4 linked regions of the Callithrix jacchus genome follow. The protein of the gene in region 4 interacts with the protein of the main gene of each other region in a pairwise test. Links are inferred from orthologs where the notes say so. Each region holds a gene or a part of one and is shown on either strand. Other genes may lie near its edges. The genes, in order: FXYD3, PRKAB2, PLP1 and CREB3L1.

The links.
Region 1: the proteins of CREB3L1 (region 4) and FXYD3 interact in binary tests that used the Homo sapiens proteins (3 or more experiments, as listed by UniProt). The two-hybrid records come from large-scale screens. The link is inferred for Callithrix jacchus from reciprocal best matches to the Homo sapiens genes CREB3L1 and FXYD3.
Region 2: the proteins of CREB3L1 (region 4) and PRKAB2 interact in binary tests that used the Homo sapiens proteins (3 or more experiments, as listed by UniProt). The link is inferred for Callithrix jacchus from reciprocal best matches to the Homo sapiens genes CREB3L1 and PRKAB2.
Region 3: the proteins of CREB3L1 (region 4) and PLP1 interact in binary tests that used the Homo sapiens proteins (3 or more experiments, as listed by UniProt). The two-hybrid records come from large-scale screens. The link is inferred for Callithrix jacchus from reciprocal best matches to the Homo sapiens genes CREB3L1 and PLP1.

The regions. Positions count from the first base shown.
Region 1 is NC_133523.1:31,451,506-31,459,076, reverse strand, and holds the start of FXYD3 (FXYD domain-containing ion transport regulator 3), read right to left. Parts: upstream 4,130-7,571; 5' UTR 4,088-4,129; intron 1,269-4,087; 5' UTR 1,250-1,268; coding exon 1,210-1,249; intron 1-1,209. UniProt on the Homo sapiens protein: Associates with and regulates the activity of the sodium/potassium-transporting ATPase (NKA) which transports Na(+) out of the cell and K(+) into the cell.
Region 2 is NC_133519.1:7,274,253-7,281,313, forward strand, and holds the end of PRKAB2 (5'-AMP-activated protein kinase subunit beta-2), read right to left. Parts: intron 6,886-7,061; coding exon 6,817-6,885; intron 5,962-6,816; coding exon 5,925-5,961; intron 4,799-5,924; coding exon 4,566-4,798; 3' UTR 293-4,565; downstream 1-292. UniProt on the Homo sapiens protein: Non-catalytic subunit of AMP-activated protein kinase (AMPK), an energy sensor protein kinase that plays a key role in regulating cellular energy metabolism.
Region 3 is NC_133524.1:99,823,670-99,831,201, reverse strand, and holds the start of PLP1 (myelin proteolipid protein), read right to left. Parts: upstream 4,394-7,532; 5' UTR 4,272-4,393; coding exon 4,268-4,271; intron 1-4,267.
Region 4 is NC_133511.1:111,332,800-111,339,860, reverse strand, and holds part of CREB3L1 (cyclic AMP-responsive element-binding protein 3-like protein 1), read right to left. Parts: coding exon 7,029-7,061; intron 6,906-7,028; coding exon 6,847-6,905; intron 6,657-6,846; coding exon 6,588-6,656; intron 3,134-6,587; coding exon 3,034-3,133; intron 2,063-3,033; coding exon 1,936-2,062; intron 1-1,935.

The sequences.
Region 1 (7,571 bases), on a different chromosome or scaffold from region 4:
GGCATGATAGCGCGTGCCTGTAGTCCCAGCTACTCAGGAGGCTGAGGCAGGAGAATTGCCTGAACCCAGGAGGCGGAGGTTGCAGTGAGCCGAGATCGCGCCATTGCACTCCAGTCTGGGCAACAAGAGCGAAACTCCGTCTCAAAAAAAACAAAAACAAAAACAAAAGAAAATGTACAAGAGAACTGGCCGGGCAGTTATCTTCTTTCAGTGCTTTGAAGGTGTCGTTTTATTTCTTCTAGCTTCCCTTATTTCTGTTTAATAGTCAATCAAGGCTGGTGGATTACACACCTGTAATCCCAGCACTTTGGAAGGCTTAAGTGGGAGGATCAAACTCATCCAGGGGTTTGAGACCAGCTTGGGCAACATAGTGAGACCCCATCTCTGCAAAAAATTTAAAAACAAGCTGGGCATGGCGTTGTGTGTCTGGAGTCCTCGCTGTGTAGGAGGCTAAGAGAGTAGGATTGCTTGACCCCAGGATTTCAAGGCTGTGGTTAACTGTGATGGTGCCATTGCACTCCAGCCTGAGCAACAGACTCAGGAAAAAAAACAGAAGAGAGTGAGAGAATGGGGAAGACGGTGACTTTGCAGCTGTGCAACCAGCTCTTCTGTGTCTCCCTGGCAATCACTGGTTTGACTTTTCTTTTCTTTATTTTTTTTGAGACAGAGTTTCGCTCAGGCTGGAGTGCAATGGTGCACACTCAGCTCACTATAACATCCACCTCCCAAGTTCAAGCAATTTCTCCCGCCTCAGCCTCCCAAGTAACTGGAATTACAGGCATGCACCACCACACCCGGCTAATTTTGTTTCCCTATGTTGGTCAGGCTGGTCTTGAACTCCCGACCTCACGTGATCCACCCGCCTTGGCCTCCCAAAGAGCTGAGATTACAGGAGAGAGCCACTGCACCCAGCTAATTTTGTATTTTTAGTAGAGATGGGGTTTCATCATGTTGATCAGGCTGGTCTTGAACTCCGACCCAGGTGATCTACCTGCCTCGGCCTCCAAGAGAGCTGGGATTACAGGCCTCCTGACTTGCATACGGCCACTGCATACGGCCAGTATGACTTTTCTTACCCTCAAGGCGATGCTGTTCTAACATTTACCACCTCCCTGGGAAGGTAGAAAAGCACAGGAGAGAGACAGAGGCTTGGCTGCCCTCCGAGCTGGGGGATCCAGGTGAAAAAGCAGTGGAGGGATGGGTACTCACCTGCCAGGAACACGAGCAGGCCCAGGGTCGCCTTCTGCATGTCAGAGTGCTGTGCTGGCCTAGAGGGGTGGCAGGAGGTCTGGCCTTAGCAGAGCCACTGGGATGCTGGCCCTGTGCTGTGGCTCCCCAAACCTCCTCCCCTGCTGCTCAGGCAGGGTGTGCAGCTCACCCCGGGCAAACAGGCTGGCACTGGGACTCGCTGGGCTGAGAGGTAAGCAGCAGCCGTGCCGTGGGAGCGGGGCCTGGGTGGAACCCAGGCCTGACTCGGGAGCAGCCGTAATAACTCCCTGGACACCGACTTCAGGCTTTCCGTGAATCGCCCACCACCAAACGAGGGTGCCACTGCCTGCTGTTACCCTTATTGAACAGATGGGGAAACTGAGGCTCTGAGAGGTGAAACTAGGTGCCCTCGCCAGGAAGCAGGATTTAAAGCAGGCCTGGCTCCCCAGCAGCTGCTCCTAACTTAGGGCTGTAAGGGCCTTGTGTGTTTGGGGAAGTGGGGTGCTGGGAGCCAGGTGGCAGGAGGCCCGATTCCCGGGAGTGTCTCCACAGACAGCTCGGAGCCTGCCTGGCCCTGCCAGGACACGGCAGACTTCAGGCTGTGGACTGAGCAGGTTCTTCAAGCTGCCCAGGGCAGGGTGTGGGAAGGAGATGACTTGAGACTGGGACTGCGGGTAGAGGGGAACAATCTCGGCTTGGCTGCATGTTCCCCTGAACCTCCCGTCACCTCATCCCCACCCTCGCCCTTCCCAGTCCCAGCCCTAGCTCTGCCTAGCCTGGGTCCCCAGCCCAGCCCCTGACCTGGCCCCAGGCCCTCGAGGCAGCAAACACTTTCTCTTTCCCAGACAGGCCTGCAAGGCTGCTGCAGCAAGCCCCTGGATGCCATGCATGCCCTCCCCTGCCCTGCCCCTGCCCAACTGCTGAGCACATAGTTACCATAATTTTTTTTTTTTTTGGAGGCAGAGTTTTGCGCTGTCACCTAGGCTGGAGTGCAGTGGCATGATCTCAGCTCACTGAAACTTCTGCCTCAGCCTCCCAAATAGCAGAGACTACAGGTGAGTGCCACCATGCCCCACTAATTTTTGTATCTTTAATAGAAATAGGGTTTCACCATGTTGACCAGGCTGGCCTCAAACTCCTGACCTCAGGTGATCTGCTCACGTCGGCCTCCCTAAGTGCTGAGAATACAGATTTGAGCCACCGCACCTGGCCTAGTTATAATTTTGATAGCAAGAGCTGGCACTTCCTCCCCTCGCCCTGGGGTGCACACTGACCTTGCTGTTTCTCACTCACCTAACCTCCCAGCAACCCCGAGGTCATCCCCTAGTCTGCATTTCACAGATGGCAGAAATGCTGAGAGACGGCAGTGCCAGCATCCAGTGGTGTGGGTGGTCCCTGCTGGTTGGCACAGACTCCTCCCTCTGCCCGCCCACCCCGGAGCCTGGGAATCCTCTCAGCTTCCCGGTTAATTCCAGATGCTGGACTCACAGTTTTACTTTGAGCAACCATTTCTTTTCCTTTTTTGGGGGGGGTTGGGGGTTTGGAGGGGAAGAAAGCCTGAGACTTCGGGAGCTTTACTGAGGCCCACGAAGTGTTTAGAACGCCCAGAAGAGTTGGCGGGGGAGCTGGCAAGGGTGGGTGGGCAAGACCACATGGTGGATATGGGCACAGGTGGTAGGTGGCCTGCCTGTGGTCCGAAGCTGTCACCCACGACCATACGAATCCTGGTAATCCACGCAGATACAGACTGAGTGTCTACCCACAGGGCGTTTTCTCAGCTTCCCACTTTTTAATTCATATAATCTCTGCAGCTTCGTGCAGGGGGCACTATGATTAGCCCACTTGGCAGTTGCAATCCTGTGACCCTGCAAATTCATCTTAAAGCCCTATGCTCTGTCACCGTGGCTGTTGAGTCTCACCTCTTAAGCCTCTTTCCAGGGGCTCCTCCAAGCCACCTCTGGCCTGTGAAGCCCAACTCTTCCCCCTTCCCATGTTATCATCCAGCAGAGACTGACAGATGGTATCTGCCTCACCCAGCCTCTGCATAACAATGTCCAGCCCCACGTTTCCAGAGGCTTCGGGGAGCCGGGAGCTGGGTCTGCCCTCATATTCCCTGTTCAGGCTGTTGTTTGAAGAGGCCCCAGCTGCTCCTGAACCGATGTGGGCGGCGGGCAGGTTAGAAGAGGAAGGCAGCCCTGCAGCTAGCGCTCTGTCTACCTGCTGTGATTCTTCCTGGCCACGAGGTCCCAATGCCCGCCTGAGGACCATCTCCACAACCTGCCCTCTGCTAACCCCAATTCCTCCATGACGTGAGAGAAGGGGCTCATCCTCAAGGGCAAGCAGAAGGGTCCCGCCCCTTCTGTGTACCTCAAACTTCCCAAGCAACTCCCCATTTACAGCTTCCCCCAGCAGCTCCATCCTCTTTTCCTAGAGGTCTCCAGAATCCAGATTCCCCGCAATACCTGGACTCCCCGGGTCCACCCAGCACTCATCCACCCAGATGTCCCAAGTCCATTTACACACCACTGGTCCACTTGGATACCCCTGCTTACCCAGGCACCCCCTCTTCTTCACCTGGATATCCCCAACCCAGATACCCCTAATCCATGCAGGCCTCAGTCTTCCCAGACAACCCAACCACACTTACGGGTCCTGCCCTCACCCCAGCTGGCTCAACCAGTCGCTGAGGAGCATGGGGGGAAAGGGACATTAGGGGAAGGGCCTTTCTCCTATCTCCTGGCTCTAGAAATGCACCTCAAAAGATTTTATGCTCTTTAACAGCTGAGCTTCTATGTGGTGGGGAAGTGGGTGGGTAGGTTCTCCCTAATTTAGGAGCAGAGCCAAGGAGGGCTTGGAGGAAAGGGCCCCAGCTGCTCACCTGTGGGGTTCACCACGCTGATCAGAGGTTCCAGGAGAAGTCGGGGCTGCCAGGCGGAGTCCTGCCTTTATCCGAAGCTGCCACGCCCTAAGCAAACCTGGGCAGGTAGAAAACAAGTTAGATGCCCTAAGGCCCAGGGGCTCCATTCCTGCTCTTAAAGAGACAGCTTCACCCCCTCCCCAGCCTCAGGCATCAGATGGCTCCCTGGAATTCCCAGGGCCACAGCAGCCTCAGGTGAGAGGGAGAATTAGATGGGATGGAACTCGGCCCCTGAAATTAAGGAAGGAGCTTTCTCCAGTCTCCTGATCCCAGGAGAGGACCTTAAAGGGTGAAGGTTCTGGGAGGTCTTTTTTTTTGGAGAGTTTTGCTCTTGCCCAGGCTGGAGTGCAATGGCACGATCTCACCTCACCACAACCTCCACCTTCTGGGTTCAAGTGATTCTCCTACCTCAGCCTCCCGAGTAGCTGGGATTACAGGCATGTGCCACCACACCTGGCTAATTTCATATTTTTAGTAGAGACAAGGTTTCTCCATGTTTTTCTGGCTGGTCTCGAACTCCCGACCTCAGGTGATCTGCCCATCTCAGCCTCCCAAAGTGCTGGGATTACAGGCCCTCGCCCTGGGGGTTCCAGGGTCTTTAAAGGACAGAGCCTCCGGGGCCATGGAGGGAGGAGGGAGGTGAGGCTTGCTGTCCCGACCTCACTTCTTTTCCTTAGATGGTGTGTTTGCCCGATGGAAGGATTGCTGGCAACTGTGGGGAACTTAACGTTTCCTTCCAGGCCACATCTTTTTTTTTTTTTCTTCGAGATGGAGTTTCACTCTTGTTACTCAGGCTGGAGTGCAATGGTGCGATCTCACCGTAACCTCTGCCTCCTGGGTTCAGGCAATTCTGCCTCAGCCTCCTGAGTAGCTGGGATTACAGGCATGCGCCACCATGCCCAGCTAATTTTCATATTTTTAGTAGAGACGGGGTTTCACCTTGTTGACCAGGATGGTCTCGATCTCTTGACCTCGGGATCCACCTGCCTTGGCCTGCCAAAGTGCTGGGATTACAGGCGTGAGCCACCGCGCCCGGCCTCCAGGCCACATCTTGCTTGCTGGTACAGTTTCAGGGTCAGCAGAAGATGCTGGGATGACCAAAGTCAGGAGATGGGGCGGGGTGGATACAGGGAAGTGGCTGGAATGGCAGGGAGGGGTTGGGGTGGGGACTGTGGGACCTTAGGCCTGGTCATCACCCGCTCCCTGCCCTGGGGAGAATGAGAACTGGCTCCCAGGCATCAGGCTGAAGTTTCCCAGCCAGGCTCATTCCATGGGTGCTGAGTGAGATCCAGATGGCTGGGTCTGCAGAGTGGGCGCTGTTGGGGGCGGCGGCCTCCCAATCCAGATAAGGCCCCCTTCACTGTGCTAGTCCCCCTCCCCCTTCCCTCCTCCCTCTCCTGCTCCTCCTCCTCCAGGCATTCCTTCCGGATGGGGTCTGTGCAGGCCCCCCCATGGTCCCAGTTGGGGGTGCCCCCTCCCCTCAATTCCGCCTTCTTAGACAGAGGGACTTTTGTCTGGGGGCTGGATGGAGAACAAGGATTCTTTGAGCGGTTGGCGGAGGATTGGGGTCACGGGGAGGGGTAGGGCCAGGAAAGGGGAAGCTTTGCCCTGGCCACCAGCTGGACTCCAGGCGACCCCAACACCATCGTGGGGGCAGGGAGGAGGGCCACAGGGCCAGGCCAGGGAGAGGCAGCTGCTGGGAGCATGAAGCACAGGACAGGAAAAGGGGGTTCGGGTCAAGGCTCTGCCAGGAACTGCCCTGCTGGGGACACAAAGAAGGACCCCCCCCACCCCAGTTCTCATCGTGGAGGGATGGGGCGGGCAATACTTGCCCAGAGCTACACCCTTTCTCTCTGTGGTTCCCTGGGGCAAGCTGTCAATCCCAGGCCTTCCCTAGACAAGGACAAGGCTCCCTCCTACCCCTGTGAAGGAGGGGTCAGTCCCCACAAGGAAGAGGGGCCCTTGGGATAGGGCTCCAAGCAAGAGCCCCAGGAAGAGATAGAAACAGGAAGGAGAGGCCTGGGGGCCAAGTCAGTGTAGCTAAGGGGGTCTTTGTGTCTGGGCAGATAGCATCTTCCCCAGACCCTTCAAGCTTGATTGTGTCTGGGACAACCCCTTGGGGGTCTTGGGAGTGGAATGGTTTTCCCTCTGCTGGGAAGCCTGGGAACTGCAGGCAGCCGAGAGCAAGTCGTGGTGTGTGCAGGATAGCTGGGGGGGTCGGGGGTGCTCTGCCTTTCACCTGAACAGGGTGAACTGGAGAACGGTTGTCTAAAAATCCTGGAGGAACCCGACTGCCTGTGGATGGATACAGAAGTACTTTCCAGACAGACTGCTAAGGGAAAAAATAAAAATAAAAACAAGGTGTAGGGAAACCCTGGAGTGTGCTGTCGTTTGTGAGCGGTAACGTAATGCATATGCATATACTTCTAATGAATAAAATATTTTTGGGGATTGGCATCCAGGGCTGCTTCTGGGGAGGGGAACTAGGAGGCTGGAGGATGGGGTGGAAGTGAGACTCACTCAGCATCACAAGCCCTCTTATAGCTTTTGAATTTTGCATCCTGAAAATGTACTACCTTAAAGAGGTTTAATTTTAAAAATTGGGTTCAGATTTTTTAAAAATTTTCCAGGTCAAACAAAACACATCTAAGGGCTAGTTTCAACCCAGGAACCAGCAATTATAGCCTTCTGACAATCTCTGAATGTTCTGTAGTTTTAAACACCATGATCTTACATTCTGATGTACAGATGTTTACGGAATTTTACCCAACCCAGGTCAACCATAAATTCTTCCTGGGCTGGACGTGAACATGCTGCATCCAAGTGTGTGCTGGGCTGGGCTGGGGTGGGCTGGGGTGGGGCTGGGGCTGGGCTGGGCTGGGGTGGGGTTGGGGCGGGGCTGAGGCTGGGGCTGGGGCTGGGGCTGGGGCTGGGCTGGGACTGGAGGATTCAGAGACCTCAGTGTAATGAGCACACAGAGACCCTTAGAAAGGGCTATGGGACCAGGCGAGGTGGCTCACGCCTGTAATCCCAGCACTTTGGGAGGCTGAGGCGGGCAGACTATGAGGTCAGGAGTTTGAGACCAGCCTAGGCAACATGCTGAAACCCCATCTCTACCAAAAATAAAAATTAGCCGGGCATGGTGGTGAGCACCTGTAATCCCAGTTACTCGGGAGGCTGAGGCACAAGAATTGCTTGAACTCGGGAGGCGGAGGTGGCAGTGAGCTGAGATCGTGCCATTGCACTCCAGCCTGGGTGACAGAGTGAGACTCCATATCAAAAAAAAGAAAAGAAAAAGAAAAAAAGAATAAGAAAGGGCTGTGGGAACGGAGTTTGTGCAGTCACTTGCCCCCTATCAGGAATGAGGTGTCCTTTGGAGTGAGTCTTCTGGCCAATTTGACGTCAGTTATGTTTTAAAGGCACAGAGGTAATAGGTTTATATATT
Region 2 (7,061 bases), on a different chromosome or scaffold from region 4:
GAGCTCAGCTTATCCAGTACAGGATGATAGCTAAATGTGCAACCAGCTCAGAGAAACCGCTGAGAAACAAATCACTGACTACGTCTGCATTCCTACAGGTAAGGTTGGCAGAGCCTGAAACAAATAGAAGAGAAAAGGCGACAGGTAGGAGGACATCATTTGTGTCCCCTACACCTAAGATTTATCTCTTTCAATTGGGTTGTTTTGCAGTTCGCATTATTTAGGCCCTGAGACACCAAGACTAACTGACATTGATAATATAATCAGTCATCAATAAATAACTCAAATATTATTGCTGTATAATAATTTTATTAAACCGTTTTATGGAAAAAACCCACATTTCTGTATGTGTCACGCCATATAATTTCCAGGTGTGTTAGAGTCCAGTGACAAATTACATTTGGAGAACAGCTTTAAAATCCACTCCTGTATCCACTCCTATATGAAATATTGAAAAGCAGCTCTGTACCTCAGCACTAAAGGTTACAAAAAGCACCATTTAAAAGAGGACTCACATATTTAACTCCCTTCAAATTAGAGTCATCTCTCTCCTTTCCAAGAGACACAGAGCTGCACTCATTCGAAATGCTGCCGTGTAATACCAACCAGCATGCTCCAATTTACCAAAATTCAAACAAGTCTCATATGTGAGACCCACGCAGAGATTAGGACTGGCCAACAGCTGTGAGCTTTGGCTGTCCCAAAGCCACAAGCTGGGCTGGGTAAGTGTTCTGTGGAGGGGAACAGAAAAGAAGTGAGATCACCAATACCTAATACATTACTTAATGTAGGTATCCGTCGGCCATTTAACCTGACACCTACAAAATCCATAGTTTGGTATTTCACACCCGTCTTACTGCAAAAGTGCTGTGCTACATACAATTAATTCAAGTTAACTCCAATTAATATTGAAACTAATAAAAAGTTAATTTGTAATAAAGCTTATTCACTTAAAAGCACAATCAAGAAAACCCAATCAAGACAAAGCCCAAACTAGAATCCCAGAAGGATTCCATTGCTAAGAATTGGACTCTATAAGTAAGAGACTTGAGTTTTTCTCTTTTTTTCCTTCTTATAATTTAAAAAAAGATTTGGCTTTTTACTCTAAAAGTCTGGGTTCATTGCAGAAATCACAGTCCTTCCATCTCCAATTGTGATTGGCACTTAAGGAGAGACAAACGCTTAGATCCAGAGTTTCGCAAGACCCCAGTTGCTACCCTCCCGGGTCCTCCATACCGTGGGTAAGTGGAGTCAGCAGCCCTGGTAGAAGACAGCAACAACTGGGCTTGAAGGATGAACGGGAATAATGCGGGAATATACCGGACATCAGCTGTTAAGCCCATGCCCTGAATCACTAGAATGTGAGGATGTAGAAATCTCTGAGAATAGAATGAATTTCAAACACACACAAACATAGACTATTGCATATCATTTTTAGTTGAGGTCAAAATTATTAAAGCCCTGTTTCCCCAGTTAAAAGCAGGGAATTCTGTTAATATGTCTTCATTCATACTCCAGATGACTAGAAACCCAGTCTAGAGGTATCCCTTCTCCAAACTTAATGTCACTTTAACAGCATACATGGAACACTGCCACTTTTCAAAGTTTTTCTCCCAGACCCATTAGATCTACAGGAGACAAGAAAGAATTGGAGCAAAGTGAATGGGCCTGGGTTTGTAGGATTCTCACAAACTTCTCTTGGATTCTTCTTTTACAAAGTTTCTCTACCATACAAGTATACGTTTAAAAAGCCAACACTACTGAGGTCAGGTATGCCCTCCAGGGGTGTGGCCTAGAATGGTTAAATCCTATCCAATTCCAAGCTTAAAGGAGGCTAATCATCATGGTGTGGAATTTCTCCATACCAGCAGCATGGCTAACCCATGTGTTTTAGACAACGTCTGACACGCTGGTAAAGTCTGCCTGACAACTGAACTTAAAGCAGAATAGAGAGGAAAGGGAACAGAATTGGAACAAGATGAAAGGGAAGATGGTTTTACACTCTAATTCTGTACAGTGATATCCAAGGACGCCACCATGTGGTGTCTGATTTAATTTCCGTTTCAAAGAGGACATTTTCTGTTCCACGTTACTCAAGCCTTTATTCTCCTATGAACTCCTCAGCTCGGCCACTCTTCTCTTCCCCACAACTCCAAAACCATGCTGCAGTTCTTTAAGGGTCAGCCCCTGTGAAGACCTATTTTTTATTCTGCCTACTTTGACTCCATAAAATTCCAACAGGCAAAGAAAAGGCTAAAAAAGATTTTTTTGCCTTTAGTCATTTTCAAAATCTGTCAAACTCTCTCCTGCATAAAATTAATTATCCCTTTAATCAACAGACGAGGATGAATGAGCAGTGCTTTGGGTTACTTCCTTCTCTCCCTCCCTCTCTTCCAGGCAGAGCGAGACAAGGCCTCTCAGAACCACGGGATACATCAGCAGTATAGAAAAGGAGCAGTGCTGAGGAGTCATCGCCCCGTTCCTCCTACCCATTCCCTTCTATGCCAGCTGGGAGGCTCCCATTTCACATCTGGCTGAGAGTTACCTCCGAACATGGGAAATTGACACTCTGCACATTTCCAGATAGAAAGATCTAAAGGTCACTAGCACCAAACCCTCTGTCACTGGAGGCAGACCCAGTTCACAAAAGCCTTGGGCCTGAGAGAAATTGAAGAGATCTCTTTTCCTGCCCCCCTCTACTGATACACCTGTGAGGAGTAAAAATTTTCACACCTGAACACGTAGATACTACATTTTGATACTGTTTACAAGAAATATGAATATAACAAACTTCATGTAACAACCAAGATTTTGGATCTTCCTAAGTGGCCCACTTATTTAATGGGTATTGGATAAGAACAAAACTCTAGTACAACTGAAGATGCTAAATCCTGAGAGTTGGTTATAACAGGCTCTGGCCTGGATTTTTAAATGGCGCACTATTCAACAAGTGTCTGGGACCATAAAATGTTCTCCACAAAAGCCTTTCGCTGCAGAAGGTGGCCTCAGATGGCTGAAGTAGTATTTACTCTTAGCAATTAACCGCCAAAGCATTTAGTTACTTGCATCCCAGTAAAACAACAACCCCATACCTTACTCTCTCACACCTGGGACCCAAGAGGTCTACAGGCCCAAAGACAACTGTGTTGTCCGCTTTGCATGGGAAAGACAGGAGGTAGCTAACCTGACCTGGAGGTGCCCTTTCAGTGTGGCTAGGCTCATCTGAGCAGTCAGGGAGTCTCTCATTCATCAACAGTTTAGCCTCCTTCAGTGCTGAATATTTGCCTTCTTATCTGTAAAACGGAAGAGCCCCCGCCACTTGAGCAAAAATATTTTATCTCTGAACCCCAAAAGTCGATTGAATATTTTTCAGTTCACAAATGGAAATCAATGACCCCACTTCATCATCAAACACCTTTAAAAAGAAGAGGCCGGAGAACAAAATGATCTTGTTAACACTTAGTTAACAGTTAACAAAGCATGATGCTTTTCATGGTTGGGGATATTAGGAATACTCTCTTGTTTCTTGGCCTAACACATCTTTGAAATGAGGGAACTCGTTAGGTGCATCAAGTTCAATGAGTTAAATGAACCTGAGCAGTTTATCTAAAGCAGTGTTTAGTTATGTGTATAGGGCTGGCCATATTAATCTAAGACCACGGAGGGCTAGACTAGAGAAGAGAATTTGAGGAAGCATTTATCAAAAGCCTGAAATTCTCCAATGCAGTCTCTTAAGATCAATGAAAAGGTATTTTTTAAATTAAAAAAAAAAAAAATGCAAGCACATAAAAATCTTTCAAGGATGAAAGACATGAGAGTACTCCCTGGTTTCACTCCTACTTTCAGAAGTGTGTGCTGAGGGAGAAGAGATGAAGTAGGGCCAGGCCAAGAGGGAAGACTTTTGGGAATTTGCCAGTACAGCCTGAACCTTGGCACCAAACTCAAACAGAAGAGCAGATGTTCTGCATTCTGCCTGCCGTATAATGCTGAGACGTATTTTCCGGAGAAGTTAAAGCAAGCACTACAGGTGGCTTGGGCCTGTGCTGGGCTAAAAAGACCTTCTGGCAGCCCTCGTCTCTGGGGTGGGTCAGGTGCCCTAAAAAGTCACGTAGCCAGTGAGTTTTGTGCTAGCGAGGGGTCAGGCACGGGAGGCTGTTCCAGGAACAATGTGAAATGAGAAGGAAGGGTTCCTGTGAGGCAGCTGGTATCACATCAATACACAGACTGTGCCGCGTACTCTGGGAATACAGAGAACCCATGCAGAAAGACTGCCCTTGCAATGAGGCAGCCGTCTAGCACAATCCCATTCCTTGGAGAGCCCAGGTAGCAGTGATAGAGCCTCCGCCCAGCAAGGATCCTAAGAGTCTGCTGTTCTTTCATTTTAGGAAAAAAGCTTCCTATATAGTTATTCCCGCAGTGCCTCCAAACAGGTCTTGGTGAAAACCCACAGGCAGAGACAATACTTCTAGCTGCGGCTAGGAGGCTTCCATTTACCTTCTTCTCATATGTATATATATTTTTTTCTTAAAATAAATTCCGTGAACTCATAAAGCTCTCGTCTGCAATCAAATGCAAAAGCAGAGCATCCTACTCAGAGGCTCTGAAACACACATATCAGCCTCAAAGCAAATCAGCCTTCCAGTCTTAGGTAAGACTGGTTCAGTCCCGAAAGGCAACGGAGATGCTTCTCCTGAATCCTTGGAGGCAAGAAGGGATCCCTTCAGATGGGCTTGTACAGCAGAGTAGTAACATACTTCTTCTTGTAGCGATGGGTTGCGCTGAGGACCATCACACTGTCCTGCAAGAAGAAACACACGCAGCCAACTCATTAGTTAAGACAGCAGGTAGCGCCTCCCAGTCACTCACTGTTAACAGAGACAGCTTGACAGAAGAGAAGAAGGTTGGTTTTGGAGTCAAATCAGTTTCAGTTCCAATCTGATTCCTATTATTATTCTACTTGTGGCCTTGGGTAATCTACTGAATATGTCCAAGTCTTTTTATCTCGTTGTTACAAAAGATAATACCTACCATTGAGGTGGCTCTGATGATTACATGAGAATATCTGGCACAGTTTCTGACATGTGAGTGCTGAAGAAATATTAGTCTCCTACCTTGCTCCCTTCCCTACTTTAAATTCTAATATTGGGCTTAAAACTAGCAAGGAAAAGAAAGAAAGAAATATTCTGGCATCCACATCTAGAAGAAAGTCTTAAAGACAAAGAGAAAAAAAGAAACAATCCTTCTAAAAAACAATTCCCAAGTCCCAAAGCAGGTCTAATTTCCATTTAGTACCAGGGATAATTCAAAAAGTCGTCTCTGATTTAGAGGAAACCTAAAAATCCCTCTCTATCTTTGAACAAAGTAAACACCAAAATCCTCTTCAGAAGGACACCCAGTCCAATGGATCAATTCCAAACCACCTAAACAATCTGAGAGAATCAGGAATGGGTCAGAACCAAGCTGAGCCACAATCATCCACACCTTCACCTGAGTCAGAACCAGTAAGAAGTGAGCAAGAGGCACCATTTCCCAGGCTGTGTTACAGACTACGGATGTACCACAGGAGGAGGTGGCAAGCCTATGCATATTCAATGACGCCCAAGGAGCAGTTACAGGAGGCAAAATCCATCGGATCCCAAATAAGCCAAGCAAATCCAATTTAGAACCAGTGTATCCTTCCACCTCCCCCCATGCTGTACTATCCACAATGAATGCCTCTCCGGTTAACATTCCAGAATCATGTTGACTAACTAAAGCCTAAATATGACAGAAGCAAGGCAGGTAAAAAATGCACTTGACAGGTTTTGTGGAAATGAGGACCAGGTGAGAAAGAGCATCTTGGAAAGACCTGGCATGATGATAACACAGGAAAGAACATGACGTCAGCATGGAGGCTGGACCTCAGTCCTGCCTCTGGTACTTACTGGCACTTTGACCTTCTCTGAGCCTTAGTTTCTTTATCTATAAAACAGGGGTTAAAAATAATACTTATCTCACAGGTTATTGTAAAAATTCCATTCAGTAATATATTTGTAAGTATTACATTGTACCAGTGATTTCCCAAATCCAGCTACACATCCAAGAAGTAAAAGCAGCTTAAAAAAATTACTAGGGCCCATCCTAGGTACAGTTATTCAGGATCTCTAGGAATGGAACTGTCGAATCTGTATTTTGACAGGAGATTCTGATGATAATCAGCCTACTTTGATAACTGCAGAGCCGTATAACTTTATTCCAATAGCCAAACCACAAAGACATAACAAGACAGAATAGAATGGCTATTTTCAACTCAGACTCTAAAGCAGCAGAAAAACCAAGGAGGACTCTAGACTTGAAGGGGACCCGGCAAATCTGGTCACATTTCTCCATTACCTCGTGTTTAGGAGACATATAAGCCCCTAAGTATATATGAATGGGGTACCTGAAAGTAGCTCAAATCTACCTGTAAAAAAGTAAAAGCCTTAACATCACATTCAAGCATTCTTTGAACTGGAAGCTAAACCTGCTTTTTCTGCAGATGAAATCCTGTACTATGAACTCAAACTTAAGTCTCTGGTATAAAGATGCTAGTCACCCAAAAAGTAACTGGGCAGCAAAAAACTCCTATCAGAGGGCAATACAACCAGCCAAGTCACAGAGACTGAGATTTTGAAACAAACAACCTAGTAATTAAAAAAAGAGAGTTCTTCCATAACTTGATCATTACTACCAGCTTCAGCTTCAGTGAAACAGCAGAGAAAGTAACCACTGAGAACGTATGTTACCCTTGTCCTCTCATTCCAGGGAGCTCTATGTAGAGCCAGGGTTTCCACTTACCTTAATGGACAATGCATAGAGATGGTTCAGCATAACATGGTTGGGCTCAGGGAGTAAGGCTGGGTCACACTAAGAGAAAGAGAAAAAAATTACTAAATGAAATTAATGCACAGACAAATCAAACAGCTTACTCTTCCTCAGAGCTCTTTGGGATGTTGAGAAATTTGATCTAGAATGTGTTATCTCTTTTTAATAATGCACCCACTCCAGTATGTATCATTGATACAATCCTATTACAGAAAATT
Region 3 (7,532 bases), on a different chromosome or scaffold from region 4:
TTGATTCTGATGCTGTCCCTTTAAACAGACGCCAAGAGCTCCCAACTCTCCCTCCCTCCTTTCCCATGCCCTGGGCCCGCCTCAAGTACCAGCTCCATGATGGAAATTCAGTGTGAATCTGGGAACTCATCAAAGGAAGGAGAGGAAGGGCTTTCATCGAAAGGAATGGTAGAAAGAGACCAATTGTACCCTGCACAATTCCCAGCCTGTCCCTTGAATCCAGCTGACAAAGGGAGAGATAGAAGAACCCTATACAATAGAGCTAAACAACAGGCAGGCTCATTGAGTGAGAAAGTGGCCCCATCTCCCTAGGTCTCGAATCTGCACTACAGTCTTACCCTCCTCCCAGAACCCACCCCTTAACCTCACCCCATGAACAGAGGCCTCCTTGATCAGGGCCTACAGCAGTTGATAAGGCCGAAATGCTAGAGCAGCCGTGACTGGTACTAGGGATGGATGGGGATCAGTGGGTGGGTTCTAGGAGTAAAACAATAATCATCAAGAGGTGCCAGAGACAAACAAAGACTTTTGCTTCTGGCCTCATCCTGGTTAGACAATGCCCTGCCTATAATTTTGTCTTTCCTACATGTCCCTTGTGATATCAGCACTTATATACCACATTCAAGTGCTGGAAAAGAGTCCCAAAGCCTCTGGGGCCTGGGAATCTGAGCCTGCTGGATAGTCAAGTCATGTGGACAAGGTTAAGTAAAAAGGAATCTCAGCCTCCTCTTTGGTCCCCTTTTAGTATTACCATGGCAACAGCATCTGGACCATGTTTCCTATACTCCCTACTCCTCTTCAGATACACACACACACACACACACACACACACACACATAGAATGAATGAGGTACACATTCCGATTTATGTACAAGCATTGGGAAGCTGAGGTAAGACTTTGATTCTTAAAACTTATCCTTGGCACATTGTCTCTACCTTGCCCACGACTGGGAAGATAAAAGAGAAGTAACTGGTACTAGAGATAAGAGTAGCCATACCTTGTTCCTCAGGTCATTCTCCCACCATTTCCCCCTCTCTCCTTGGTTACAGTGTGAAGCTGATCTGGGGAACCTTATCCTCTTCCTTGGAACTCTTTTCTAGAGCCCTGCCTGGCAGACAGCTCAGAGACCAGTGCAGAGCTGAGAGATAGCCCTCGGGGCCATTTTGCAGTAGCCAAGAGGGATTAATCAATCAGCACTTGCTGCGCTTCTGAAGTAGGTCTGGCACTGAGTAGGCTCTGAAAGCAGAAAACGAAGGGAAAGTGGTTCCATTCACCTACGATGACTGCTGTGACCCTTCCTGATCATGTCACTGTCCTCATTTGATCTTCTCTAGACCTGAAGTACTGTGGGCAGGGAAGGCATTTCTACTGCTGCTTTCTTTCAAGACAAAGAGCTGTACCCAGGGGATGGCTTTCAAGGCTTCGGGACAATAGACAAAAGCAGTGGGGAAAAGTGATGTTACTGGCTGGAGTTCTACTTTAATGGGTTTGGAGACTATATTTCCCCTCCCACCCACCTCCCAGGGTTGAGGGTGTTATTACTCAGATCACTCTGAGAGAGCAGTTCTAGTTGTCAGGGTGTTAAGTACATTTCTGGCTTTCCTAGCTCAGAGCCAAGGCAAAGACCCCCTAAAGCAGGGTATACCTTTCAATCTGCCTGGCTCTCCAAGAGCTCCTCTGGCTCTGCACAGCCAGAGAGAGAAGTCAGGTGGGGAAGGCTGCACTTGATTATGTTAGTCAGCGTCTCCAGGAAGACTAGTGAACATGAATATGAACATGGTGGTTTGGATCTGGTTTATTTTTGGATCCTGGCATTCTTGGTGCATTTGTGCCATTTTGATGGGATTCAGTTATTCTTCGGGCATTGTATAAAACTGGACCCCCGCTCTGCTGCTACACTTTTTGCCTGGGCTCCACCCACTTACTCCAAGCCAGCCAAAACTATACTGCTTGGCAAACAGCCACTTTTGGATGAAGGCATCACAGTCTGGTTACCAGGGTAACAGCCACTGTTCTCAGACGACAACAGGCTTACAGACAATGTTTTGCTGTTCAATAATGGCATTGTGTTACTGAGCAGAGAATAATCAGTTACTGCTCTTTGGCTCCTTTCCGGTTCCATCGTTATCCCAAAGACTTACTTGGAACATTCCCCTTTCAATCAAGGCAAAATTTAATAAGCTATCATTTTCCCCATAAACCTTTTGTGCAGACACTACTGAAGTGTTCCTCGTTGCTTCCAATCCTAAGGGATTCTATATGGTTGAGGTAGTAAGTTCCCTGTTTCTGGAGGTGATTAAGCAGAGGCTATACAAACGTTTAATTAGTTGTTGTAAAAATGAATCCCATACTGAAGGTTGGTTCAGACGACTTCTAAAGTTCCTTCCAATCCCAGATTCCAGGATACAATGTGTTTACTGCAATTGTTGAACAGCAGTGCACTCCACTTCAGAAGTAGTGGCAGTCCCGTACCTTGTTAGAGATGGTCTATAATTCAAAGTATTGTAGACACTCTATTACTGAATAAATGGAAACTCAGTGGCTGCTCCATCACATGTACCTGGCCCAAGTATCATCCACCCTTAGGAGCTGGGAACCAATGCGCATCCTCAATGGTGCCCTTATCTGTGGCAATCTTCCTCTGGAGGCAATCACCCAGCCTCCATAACAGGCAACTGTCCCTGTGGTCACCTTATTTGTTCCTACCTTTCCTCAGGGATTTCATCCTCTGAGGAAGTAATATTCAACATCCTTCTTTACTCCCTCTCTGTTTTTAATGCACAACCTAGCCAATCCGCTGGGCTGACATTAGATAAGGTTCTTGATGTTACCCAGGGCAGGAATTGAGTTCCTCCAACATTCACCTCTCACCTGGCCACACTTCATTGGTCAAATGAATCTGATCCAAGCACACAAAGAAAACCCAACCACCCCAGAAAGAGGAAGAGTCAGCCTATGTACACATTATTGTCTAATAGTAGGTATTATCATGATTTACAATTGTTATAGATCTTGCCCATTTTCAAAGACTTCCATATTATTGTTACTTGATTCTTACAACCCTGAAAATAGACAAAGTAGTTATTGCTATCTCCATTTTCCAGATGAGGAAATGGTGATTCAGTGACCTGCCCAAGGTCACGCAGTTCATAAGTAGCAGATCTGGGATTGGAATCTGATTTTTCTGACTCCTTGTCCAGTGCTCTGCCCTCCTATTTTACCTTGCACATGCTTCAAAGTGTTCTCTCAGTATTTCATGATGAAACACCTAAAGGCTGAACCAGATCAATATAATTGCAAATTGATCTCTGTGGATGCTATCTACTCGGTGCTACATTTGATAGGGAATACATGGGACAACTGAGTCTCATTTCATTTAGGATGTGTTTAAGCTGCTCTCTGTTTTGCCAAATGTGAGCAATGTCTACATGACTCTGTGAAGTCCCATAGGGACAAAGACCCTTGTGCTCTGCACACCTTACTCTGAGTAGAAACTAACACCAGAACCTCATAGCTTCTGTCTTTGTTCATGGAACCTAGAAAAGCCCTCAATACTCCACCAACTTAGCAAGAGCCCTAATGTCCCAGCAGCCTCCTTGTCATAGCAGAGAGCCCTCAGGAAAGCTATGTCTGTGATATTTGTTAGAAATAGTCACCCCTGTATGTGCACACACACATATGCACATACACACACACTCCTACCCGTATTTGTTTCCCATGGTCAAGCCATTGAGGACTTTATTTCATTTCCTGAACCTGGCAATGGCCTTCTCAGCCGTGGCCAAGCCTGAGTCCAGCTTGCCCAACCCCCAGCTTCCTACTGATGTCAAACGTAGTTCAAAGATTGCATCAAGCAAGCAATTAGTTTGTACATCTGAGGTCTAGACAGTGCTCAGTGACCTCCAGCAGAACCAGGAGAGCAAGCAGACCCAACCGTTACCAGGGCCTTGGAACCAAGGGAAAAGAGAAGATAGAGGGAAGTGAGGGGGTAGGAGGACACATGACCACATCCATCTGGCTGGGCACTCTCTCCAGAGATGTGTGTGACTCTCCACGTGCTGCTGGAATTCTTTGGTAATAAAGCATCATGCTCAGTACAGCAGAGAAGGAGTTAACCTAACTGAATGTTAAGGAATTTAAAAAGAAAACAAGTGCCAAATCACGACTCATGTAAACCATTGGAACCCCCGAACCCCAAAGTTGGAAATTCTCTTGCGAATTCCTGTGTCTGCTTGAATCTTCAATGCTAAAGTTTTTGAAACTTACCCATGTCTTTGGGACTCTGACTCCAATTGTAGCCGGCTGACTAGTCTGCTTTGTGGCTGACTTTGTTCAGCTGGAAGGATCCTGGTCTCTCCAGTCTCCTTCTTCGGTCTTTTACTTTTTCTCTCTGAGTATCTTTGTCCTCTTCTCTTGCAATGAAAAGGGCTTTCTGATTGACAGCCAACCCCCTTAAAGGGACAGGCTTGCTTTCCTCCTCCTCTCCTCCTCCCCTTCTCCTCCCCTTGTCCCCACCTCCTCAGGGATACTCCCTTTTCTAAGGGCTCCCGTCTTCTCTTTCTGCCTTTCACTACCAATTGTTTCATTGTCTTTGTTTCTCCTTTTCCCTGAGGCTTGCCTGGAATTTCACTTTGCTGCAGAGACATCTGGAAATGTGGATTGAGGGTGGAAATAAAATGAAGAGGTCCTGGAAACTTCCTTGGGTCTAATAGTGTGGGATGTGCAGTACAAGCATGAGAAGCCATCAAGTGGGAGCCCCGAGAGGGGCTCAGAGTCAAAATCCTAGATGTTAGTTCCCAAAGTCCTTCCAAATCTGCCCCAGCTCCCCACCTCACTCCCAGTTGCCCTTGGACCTCTCCACCTTTCCCTTCCCCCAACTTCTTGGAAAATAAGCATTCCTCCCCCTCACCCAGCTCTATGAACACAATAGAGAAGAAAAAACTGTCTTTTAAGATAATTTCCTCCAAATCCATTTCAGTTTCAACTGCATGAAGACAAAATGCAGGCTGTCAATTCGATGAACAGAATGTGATTAGGCTGGGGAAGGCTAGCGTTGTAATAATTTTATAGCTGCAATAATGGAGACCCAAAAGTGGACAAGAAGACCTTTGCAAGTTCGCAGACTATGCTAAAGAAAAGGCCAGAGCTGAAGATGTGGGTGATTTCCAAGGAGGAGAATCAACTTTGAGACAAGTCAAGAACACAATTAGGGAATCAGGTAGTCAACATTCCATCCTGAGAATGTAATGTCTTCATCAGAGAGCTGAAGCCAGGCAGGCGAGAGGCAGGGAGTGGGTTGAAGGGAAGCAGCAGGTGGCAGTGAGGGTGGAGAGGAGAAACGAAATATAGTCCTTGCCACAGAGAAAGAAGCAGTGAGACAAAAATGGCTAAGCAGCAAAAACAGGGAAATACTATATAAAACCTGCCTTAGCAATCAGTTATTTCTAAAGATTGTGAGGTATTTGAATGCCCAATGCTAGATGGGACCAGCCTGGGAGGGTTTTCTAGAACAGGTGAATCTTAAGCAGTGTCTGTCTGGGCTCCTTGTCAGTGTCGTGTCTCCCTTCACAGCTCCCTTGACTTAGAGGCCAGCGTCCTTCCATGGATGGCCTTTAAAAATACTGGCTGGCACATAATAAGAGGGTCACACGTTGGAAGACTCTGGAGAAGGAAGGTATGGTCTCCTGGAATGTTTTCTGTGGTTTTGCTTTGGGAGAGGAGAGAAGAGGAGGGAGATATTGAGCGGAGACTAGTACCATCCTGTTGGGGGAGAGAAGTAAAATTGTGTCTTACAGTTTTCTCTTTGGGCTATGACCTTGGACGTGCTACTGGCTTGGGCTCTGCTGTTAGGAAGTAGGTAGGTCTTCTGCAGATGCCCCTGTGGGCCCACCGGAGGCCAAATCCTGCACCGTTTGAGGCTTGCTTCGCGTCCTAGAACTGTAGATCCTTTGCTCTTATATCAGCCCCAAGAAGAAAGGACCCCTGGAAATACTGCCCCTTGCAGAACAGTATAATAGTAGCTTTCCAGAGCAGATCAGACTAAGGCCATATGACTGATGGAAAAGGATCTTAGGGCCCCTTGCCCTCCCCAGCCCTGCTTGCCAGCCATAGACTATGCCTGCTTTGGAAGCTCAACTGTAGGATTGTGCCAGCAATAAACTTCTGGATGGTCACTGTTGGAATGGCCCTGGAGAAGGGGGAGGACCAAGAGCAAGAAGTCACCAAATGTGTCCCCTTAGCTCATCAGATGGCAGGCGTGAGCCCAAACTTTGGGAGTTCAAATTTAGAGGATGAGAGAAAAGATCCTTCACAGCTCGAATAGATGAGACAGCTCTGCACACAGAGGACATAATTCTGACTGAGCCCTCTCACAAAGCTTCCCCTAGATTCTCAGCAGCAGCTCTGTGGTTGGCAAGGCTACTGGGAAGAAAATATGTGTGCCCAGTAAACTCACAGATGCCGATTTACCAAGCACATCCCCCTAACACACATGTCTCTTCTCCTTTACTCAATCTCCACTGCCCTAATATTCATTCTATCTCCTCTCCAAGTCTCAATCTCTGTCTCTGTTACCTGTCTCTTTCTCCATTTCTGTGTGTCTGTCTCTCTCTGTTCCCTTCTTTTTCTCTCTCCGCATTCCCTGTCTTCTCCTTGTTCTTATGCTTGTTCTTATGCCCAGGGACAGAAAAGGGGCCCAGCCAGGTGCCCATGTCTCACTCATCCCAGTGCCTTAAGGTTTCCAACTCCCTAGGATCTAGTGTGTTCTCATTGCTCTGTACACCCCGACACTGCCTCAGCACCTCATCAGCCGACCTTTCCTGAGGGCTCCCTGCAGACCTCATAGGGTATCTTCCCAGGTCTTCCAGAAGCCATTTTTTATCTACACACCCCAACCCGTTTCTGTGATTCTGCTTCCATTGGTTCTGCTGGGTGACCTTGGCAAAATATTCTCCAGAGTCCAGCTGGACTCCTGGCAGTGCTAAGAGATTCCTCAAGAGGGCACTGCCAGCCTTCTTGGTGGCAGCCTGCTGCCTGTACTGGATGCCTGTGGGAACAATGCAGGATTGTATGAAACTCGTAAACAATTTGCTTCATGCAATTCTGATGATACCTCAGAGAATCTGGGCCCCCTTGATCATAGCTTGGTTTGGTTGTGCAGCTTTCTTGCAAATAACTCAAAAACAGTTGGCTATTACCTCCACTCTCTGCTCTATGATCCCATAGTATCCGATTATTGAAGGCCACAGAGCAAGTTCTCTTTGCTCCACTGTGTAGACCGAACTCTGAAACTCAGGGAAATCCGGTGAATTTCTACCAGGAAAAACTAAATAAGGGCTCAAGTGCCCAATCTAGTGGCTCACTTCTACCTGAACACAGAGAAGATCAAAAAGGGGAGGAGAGAAGGTACAGTACCAGTAAAAGCCTGGAATCACCTGCTACCATTTGGGCTTCTAGAGCTGAGGCTTTGCTTCTCATTCCCAAGATAATGTCTTCCCAGACCAAATTTTAAAAGACAACTGGTTGTTTCTTA
Region 4 (7,061 bases):
AGGTCTCTTTAGTCCCTCTTCCCCGAGCAGGCAGCTGAAGTTCCAGGCACTTAGGGAAGTTGTCCCCCCTGAAGGGAGGATGCGAACCCAGGCCTGCCTGGCGCTAGGATCTGCCACCTCGGTGTCTCTGCAGCCATGTCCTCACAGTCTGTGTGAACAGTGGTCCCTGGAACAGTGCAATGCACCAGTTCTGCACACCAGCCTGCTCCAAAGCCATCTGCCTGCTGGGATGTGTCCTCCTCTCTGCCCAGCTCACGTCTTGGGCCTAAAATCCACTGCCTTCCCTCCAAGGGGCTCATTCATTCCCTCCTCTAGCTGTGGCTTTCTCCATCAACCCCAGCTCTCTTTCCATTCCATTCTCTCCAGTGGCTTCTGTGACCTTGGAAAAGCAGACACATGGCTCCCCAGACCTTGCTCCCATCGCTGCTGCCCACATGCCTTTAGCGACTATCCTGTTCTCTCCTCCTCAGGCTGCACATGTCCGGGGAGGGGCTTTCACTTTCCCCACCTCTGCTTCCTCTTCCCCTAACCCTCCCCACACCAGCTTCCTCCCCTCAAGGCGCTGGATGTCTAGCTCATCCTCCCTGCCATATCCCTCCTTCTTGAAACTCACTCCTTAATCTTCCCTCCTCTGACCTCTTATCTGCTTCCTCTTCCTCCTCCTGCCCTGCCAGACACGTGGTTCTTGGTAAGTGACTGGTAATTGATGAGGGACTGCCAGGAAGTTCCTCTGTGGGTCCATCTGAAGGATCCTCTCCCTCTGAAATCCACATTCTTCTTTGCTAGGCCCTACCCCAGTTCTCCCTTTGCCAGCTACTACGATGTAGCTCTTCTCTCCTCCGTGAACTTTTCCCAAAGAGATTGAATTTGATCATTTCATAAGCACAGACACTGTGCTGTTTCATGCACTGTCTCACAGCCATGGCTCAGTAAGTGCAGAATTGCCACTCCCATTTTCTAGATGAAGAAATGAAAGCTCAGGGAGCTTAAGACATATGCCCCAGGTCACACAGTTAGCACTTGGCAGTGCCAGTTATGACAGACTTGCTATCTCCATGCTCCTAACCACTATACTTCACTATACCCTGTGCAAATGGTAGATATCTGAACCCACACCACCACTACCCTTCCTCTGTCTGTGGTAGGCATTATCAATGGATCATGACACTCCTTCCTGTCGATTCTGAATGGTGCCTCAGAGTCTTTCTTTTTTTTGAGACGGAGTCTCACTCTATCATCCAGGCTGGAGTGCAGTGGCATAATCTTGGCTCACTGCAACCTCTGCCTCCAAGGTTCAAACGATTCTCCTGTCTCAGCACCCCAAGTAGCCAGGACTACAGGCACACACCACCATGCCCAGCTAATTTTTGTATTTTTAGTAGAGACAGAGTTTCACCACGTTGGCCAGGCTGGTCTTGAAATCCTGACCTCAGCTGATTCACCTGCCTCAGCCTCCCAAAGTGCTGGGATCACAGGCATCAGCCACCGTGCCCGGGTCAGGGTCCTTCTTAACACAATGTTTCAAGCAGCTACCACCACCTTATTGGAAATGACCTTTGAGCTGAAACTCACTTGCTGTACCTATCATGATATACTGATGGTGCCTAACGGATGCCCCATAAACACTGACCATAATGCATGGGACCTGGGGCTGGAACATTCCTGTCATCCTCTAAACCCACCTCCTGCAAGCCACTCCTGAAGCTCTCTGGGAGCTAGGCTGGGCATCAGGAGCGCTGTATTTTAGTCCCAATTCTACCACAAAGCATAGACTTTCTTTGGGCCTCAGTTTCCCCATCTGGAAAATGACGAGGCAGAATGAGATAATGCTGACCCACACTTGGCTTCTCTCTTTTGTCTGGCTTCTGCCTAGACACTGGGGTTGGGGCAGGGCAGCCCCAGCCCAGGGAGTTGGCGGGACAAGAGGGCACTCACTCTGGCTGGCCGTGTAGACGCTGTCTGCGGCCATGGGGTCTTTCTTCACAGTCTGGGAGCCGGAGGAGAACTCGGGAAGGCAGGGCACAAGGGAGCCCAGCACCAGAACAAAGCACAAGGCTGCCACCTGGTAGCAAAGAGAGTGGCATCAGATCTGGGGCGAGGAGAGCTGTGGTCCTGACCACCCTACCCCTTATCTCCCAAACCAACAAGTACAAAAGTCTCAGCATTTTCCCAAGGAAACAGCTCCTACAGCCAACCACTCTCTCCTACACGTGGGGTCTCCTATCCTCTCTGGGGAAGAGAGGGGCCGCTCAGGCCATCCCAGCCCATTGTAGGGGGGTTGCCACAGGCAGTGCTAGAAGCAGGAGGGAAGTGGACAATGGAAAGTCACTCTATGGGGTAGAGGAGTCAGGAAAGGAAGGGACAGGTGCAGGTGGGGCTCGGGGCTGGGTTGAGGGAGGGGGACACACCAGCACATCACGTTATCAGCAGGATTTGGGAAAGCCTGGCTAGCAGGAGTGCTGAGAGCCAGGGAGCCCACATGCCCCTGTCCATAGTCTGGCTCTGCCACCCGACAGCTCCAGGGTCTTGGAGGGCTGGGGTGGGCTGAGCCAGGTGGCAAGAGGCTGGCCATTTCCAGAAGAGGATGGAAGAGGGACTAGAAGAGGTCTGAAGCACACCCTGGGAGCCCTTCCAGGTTTCCAGGGGTTTCCTTGGCCTTTTCACAGCCATCCGTTCCAGAAAGAACCAGGTTCATTCTTCCCTGAGTCTCCCCAAGCCCTTCTCTGCACAAAGCCTGTGGAAGCCGCCTCCTCAAGGAACCTGCCCAGCTGTCCCCTAGCTGGGGCCACTGGTGTCACCAACACATCTACACTGTGTCGACCAGTTGGGGATGGGTGTGAGGCAGAAGGCGCCATGGGCTCGGGGAAGGAGGCTGGGGTCGTCTAGAACCACCCACCAGGTACCAGGACGGTGTACCCTGGTGACGCCGCCCATGATGTTACCAATCCTCAGAGCTCTGCCCACCCCTGGAAAAAGCTGGCTTTGGGAAGAACGCTCCTCCTGTGGGCCTGTGGTGGAGGGGGCCACACCTACCATGAGGCAGGTCCCAGTCTGGGTGGCCGCCATCTTGTAAGGTCTGGAGATCTTGTTGGTGACCAGAGTCTGGAGTTTCTGCAGCTGCTGGAGCAGGGTCCTGAGGAGGGCACAGTGGTCAGCTGGCGGACTCTGACCTCACAAACATCTCTGCCTCCTGGAGCCCTCCTAGGGGGGCTGGCTCGAGATTTGGCCTCCACACCAGGTGCCCGTCTCAGTCAAGATAGGAAAAGTCACCTCCTGTGTGGCTCCTCCGTGGAGTGGCCTGCTTCATGGTGACTGGCCAGGTCGCCCTGTGGAAGCTCAGGGCTGCCCTGTGATGCTCCTGGCCGAGGGAGTTGGAGGAGGGAAGACCCTCTCCCAGCTGTACAGAGGCCAGCCTTCTATGGCTTAACCTTCCCTCCCTGGCACCCCCCCCCCAGCACCCTGAACTGATAAGAAGGACCTGTCTGGCACAGTGCCTGGTATGGAGTGAGTGTCTAGTAAATGGTAGTTATTGTTAGTGTCAGGTGCTTTGTTTTGTATTGAGACAGAGTCTAGTCTTGCTCTGTCACCCAGGCTGGAGTGCAGGGGTGTGATCTCAGCTCACTGCAACCTCCGCCTCCCAGTTTCAAGTGATTCTCCTGCCTCAGCCTCTCAAGTAGCGGGGATTACAGGCATCTGCCAGCACGCCTGGTTAACTTTTTGTACTTTTAGTAGAGATGGGGTTTCACCATGTTGGCCAGGCTGGTTTTGAACTTCTGACCTCGTGACCCACCCACCATGGCCTCCCGAAGTGCTGGGATTACAGGCGTGAGCCACCGCACCCAGCTGTTTTTGTTGGTTTTGTTGCTGTGTTTGCTTTCACCACAACCCTTTGTTTATTTAGATTTCCATGTCAGTCTCCTTCACTAACTGTGGCCTCCTTGAGGGTGAGGACTGGGTCCCACTGAGCATGGAATCTTCTAGGTGCACAGAGAACGTGTTCAGTACAGGCTTAGTGGGCAAATTAATCTCTCTCCACCTAACTGGGCATGTGGGAGTTGCAGTTCCCATAATGTACAGCAGGTGGCGAAATAGCTCCAAGGGTCTGGACCTACTTTGGGCCAGAAAGGAACCCCCAGCCAGAGACAGAGGGGTGGAAGGGTGAGGTGGGATTCTCCAGGCCAACCAGGGAACAGAGGAGTGGCTGGATCCCCCTGGAGAAGCTGGGGAAGAATGAAGGAAAGAAGAAAAAAGTCTTGTGTTGAGCACCTGCTGCATACCAGGCTGTTGTCCAGGTTATTGTAATTGATTCCAGAAAATAATTATTAAAGACCTACCAGAGGCTCATGGCTGGGCACTATCAGAAATCTGGAATAAAAAATAATGGCTCATGCCTGTAATCCCAGCACTTTGGGAGGCCAAGGCAGGAGGATTACATGAGGTCAAGAGTTCAAGACCAGCCTGGCCAATATAGCGAAACGCTGTCTCTACTAAAAATAAAAAAAAAAAATAGCCAGGTATGGTGGTACAAGTCTGTAATCCCAGCTATTTGGGAGGCTGAGGCACAAGAATATCTTGAACCCAAGAGGCATAGGTTGCAGTGAGCTGAGATTGTGCCACTGCAGCCTGGGCAGCAGAGCAAGACTCAAAAATAAATAAATAAATAAATAACACAAAATAATGACAGAAGGCCAAGTGCAGTGTCTTATGCCTCCAATCCCAGCACTTTGGGAGCCAAAGCAGGAAATATGCTTGAACCCAGGAGTTTGAGACCAGCCTGGGCAATATACCAAGACCTTGTCTCTACAAAATACTTAAAAAAAATTAGCCATGGATGGTGGTGTGCACCTGTGGTCCTAGCTACTTAGAATCAGGAGATCAGGCTGCAGTGAGCAATGATCGCCTCATTACACTCCAGCGTGGGCAACAGAGCCAGACCCTGTCTCAAGAAAATGAATAAAAACAATGAAAGAAGAATAAAAGCTGACATGAATTGCACATTCCTAAATACCAAGCATCAGGCTGGGTCCTTTGCTTGCATGATCTCTTATCAATCCAATGAGATAATGTTTCTTTCTTTCTTTCTTTTTTTTTTTTTTTGAGACAGTCTCACTTTGCCAGCCAGGCTGGAGTACATTGGGGTGATCTCAACTCACTGTAACCTCTGCCTCCCGGGTTCCAGCAATTCTCCTGCCTCAACCTCCTGAGTAGCTGATATTACAGGTGTGCACCACCACACCTGGCTAATTTTTGTATTTTTAGTAGAGATAGGGTTTTGCCATGTTGTCCAGGCTGGTCTTGAACTTCCAACCTCAAGCGATCCACCTACCTTGGCCTCCCAAAGTGCTGGGATTACAGCTGTAAGCCGCTGTGCCTGTGCCTGGCCCTATGAGATAATGTTTCTATCATCCCATTTAGACAAAGAAACAGGGGCCCAGAGATGTTTAACGATTTCTCCACAGAGTTGAAAAAATGGCAGAGCAGGGCAAGAACCCAGAGCTGTGACTTTGCGTGGCTGCTACCCGCCAGGCACTGCGCTCCTGTCTCTAGAATCCTGTTTCTCAAACTTTATAGCGCCCGTGAATCACCTAAGGATCTTGTGAACATGCAGTTTCTAGCTCAGTAAGTCTGGAGAGAGTTCTGAAATTCTGCATTTTTTTTTTTTTTTTTGAAATGGAGTGTGGCCCAGCCTGGAGTGCAGTGGCACAATCTCAGCTCACTGCAACCCCCACCTTCTGGTTCAAGTGATTCTCCTGCCTCAGTCTCTCGAGTAGCTGGGAGTACAGGTGCCCGCTACCATGCCCAGCTAATTTTTTAATTTTTAGTAGAGACAGGGTTTCACCATGTTGGTCAGGCTGGTCTTGAACTCCTGACCTGAAATGTTCTACCCGCTTCATCCTCCCAAAGTGCTGGAATTACAGGCACGAGTCACTGCACCTGGCCTGCATTTCTAATAAGCTCCCAAGTGATGCTGATGTTTCCTGTCCGGGTAACTGGCTTTGAGTAACAAGGTTCTACACGAGTGGTTCTCAGACTTGAGGGTGCATCCAAATTCCCTCGAGGGCTTATGAAAACACAGAGTTCTGGGCCCTACCCCTGGAGCTTCTGACTCAGTAGACCTGGCATGGGGCCAGAGAATAAGCATTTCTAACGATTCTTGGGGGTTGTTGCTGGTCTGAGGACCACACTTTGAAAACATCTGCTCACTTAAGCAACTCACCAGCCCTGCCAGGTGTCTTGCAGGTGAAGAAAAATGGGAACACAGGGAGGGGCAGGATGTAAGTGGCCCAAGGCTATAAGGCATGTTTCTTTTTTTTTTTTTTTTTTGTATCTTTAGTAGAGACGGGGTTTCACCATGTTGACCAGTATGGTCTCGATATCTTGACCTCGTGATCCACCCGCCTCAGCTTCCCAAAGTGCTGGGATTACAGGCTTGAGCCACCGTGCCCGGCCCTAGGGCATGTTTCTGAGGTCCCTGTCATCCTAAACTTAGTTCTCTCTCCTCTCTCCTGTCTCCCAGAGCTATGCACAGCCAGGCGTGGGTTGCAGAGGAGCAGGAGGCCAGGTGGGATGCAGAAGGCGCCACCCACCTGTTGGCATTTTCCAGGGTCTCCACCTTCTTCCACAGTTCATTGTTCTCTGATGTAAATGTCTCCACCCTGTAGGGGCCAAGCAGGCAGAGGCTCAGGGGCAGCTCTCAGACTCATGACAGCCCCTCAGCCTAGCCCATCACCATCATGTGCCCCTGTGCCTCCTGCCTCTGCTGCCCCATCAGAGAGGGCCTGGGAGGGCAGGTCAGGTGAGGGAGTGGCATGTGGACCCCACCCCCACCCCTCCCAAGCCCCTTACTTCTTTTCTAGACACTCCACATACTCCTTCTTCTTACGACGGCTCTCCTGGGCTGAGATCTAGAGGGGGAGCCCCGAAAACAAGGGTTAGCACTGCCACATAACCACTTCCTGGGCCCCCACCATTTCAGAGCTGGTGTGCCAGGGAAGCCCACCCACCAAGGAAGCCCCTCAAAGCTTTACCTTGTTCTTGATTTTCCTCCGGACTCTCTTCAA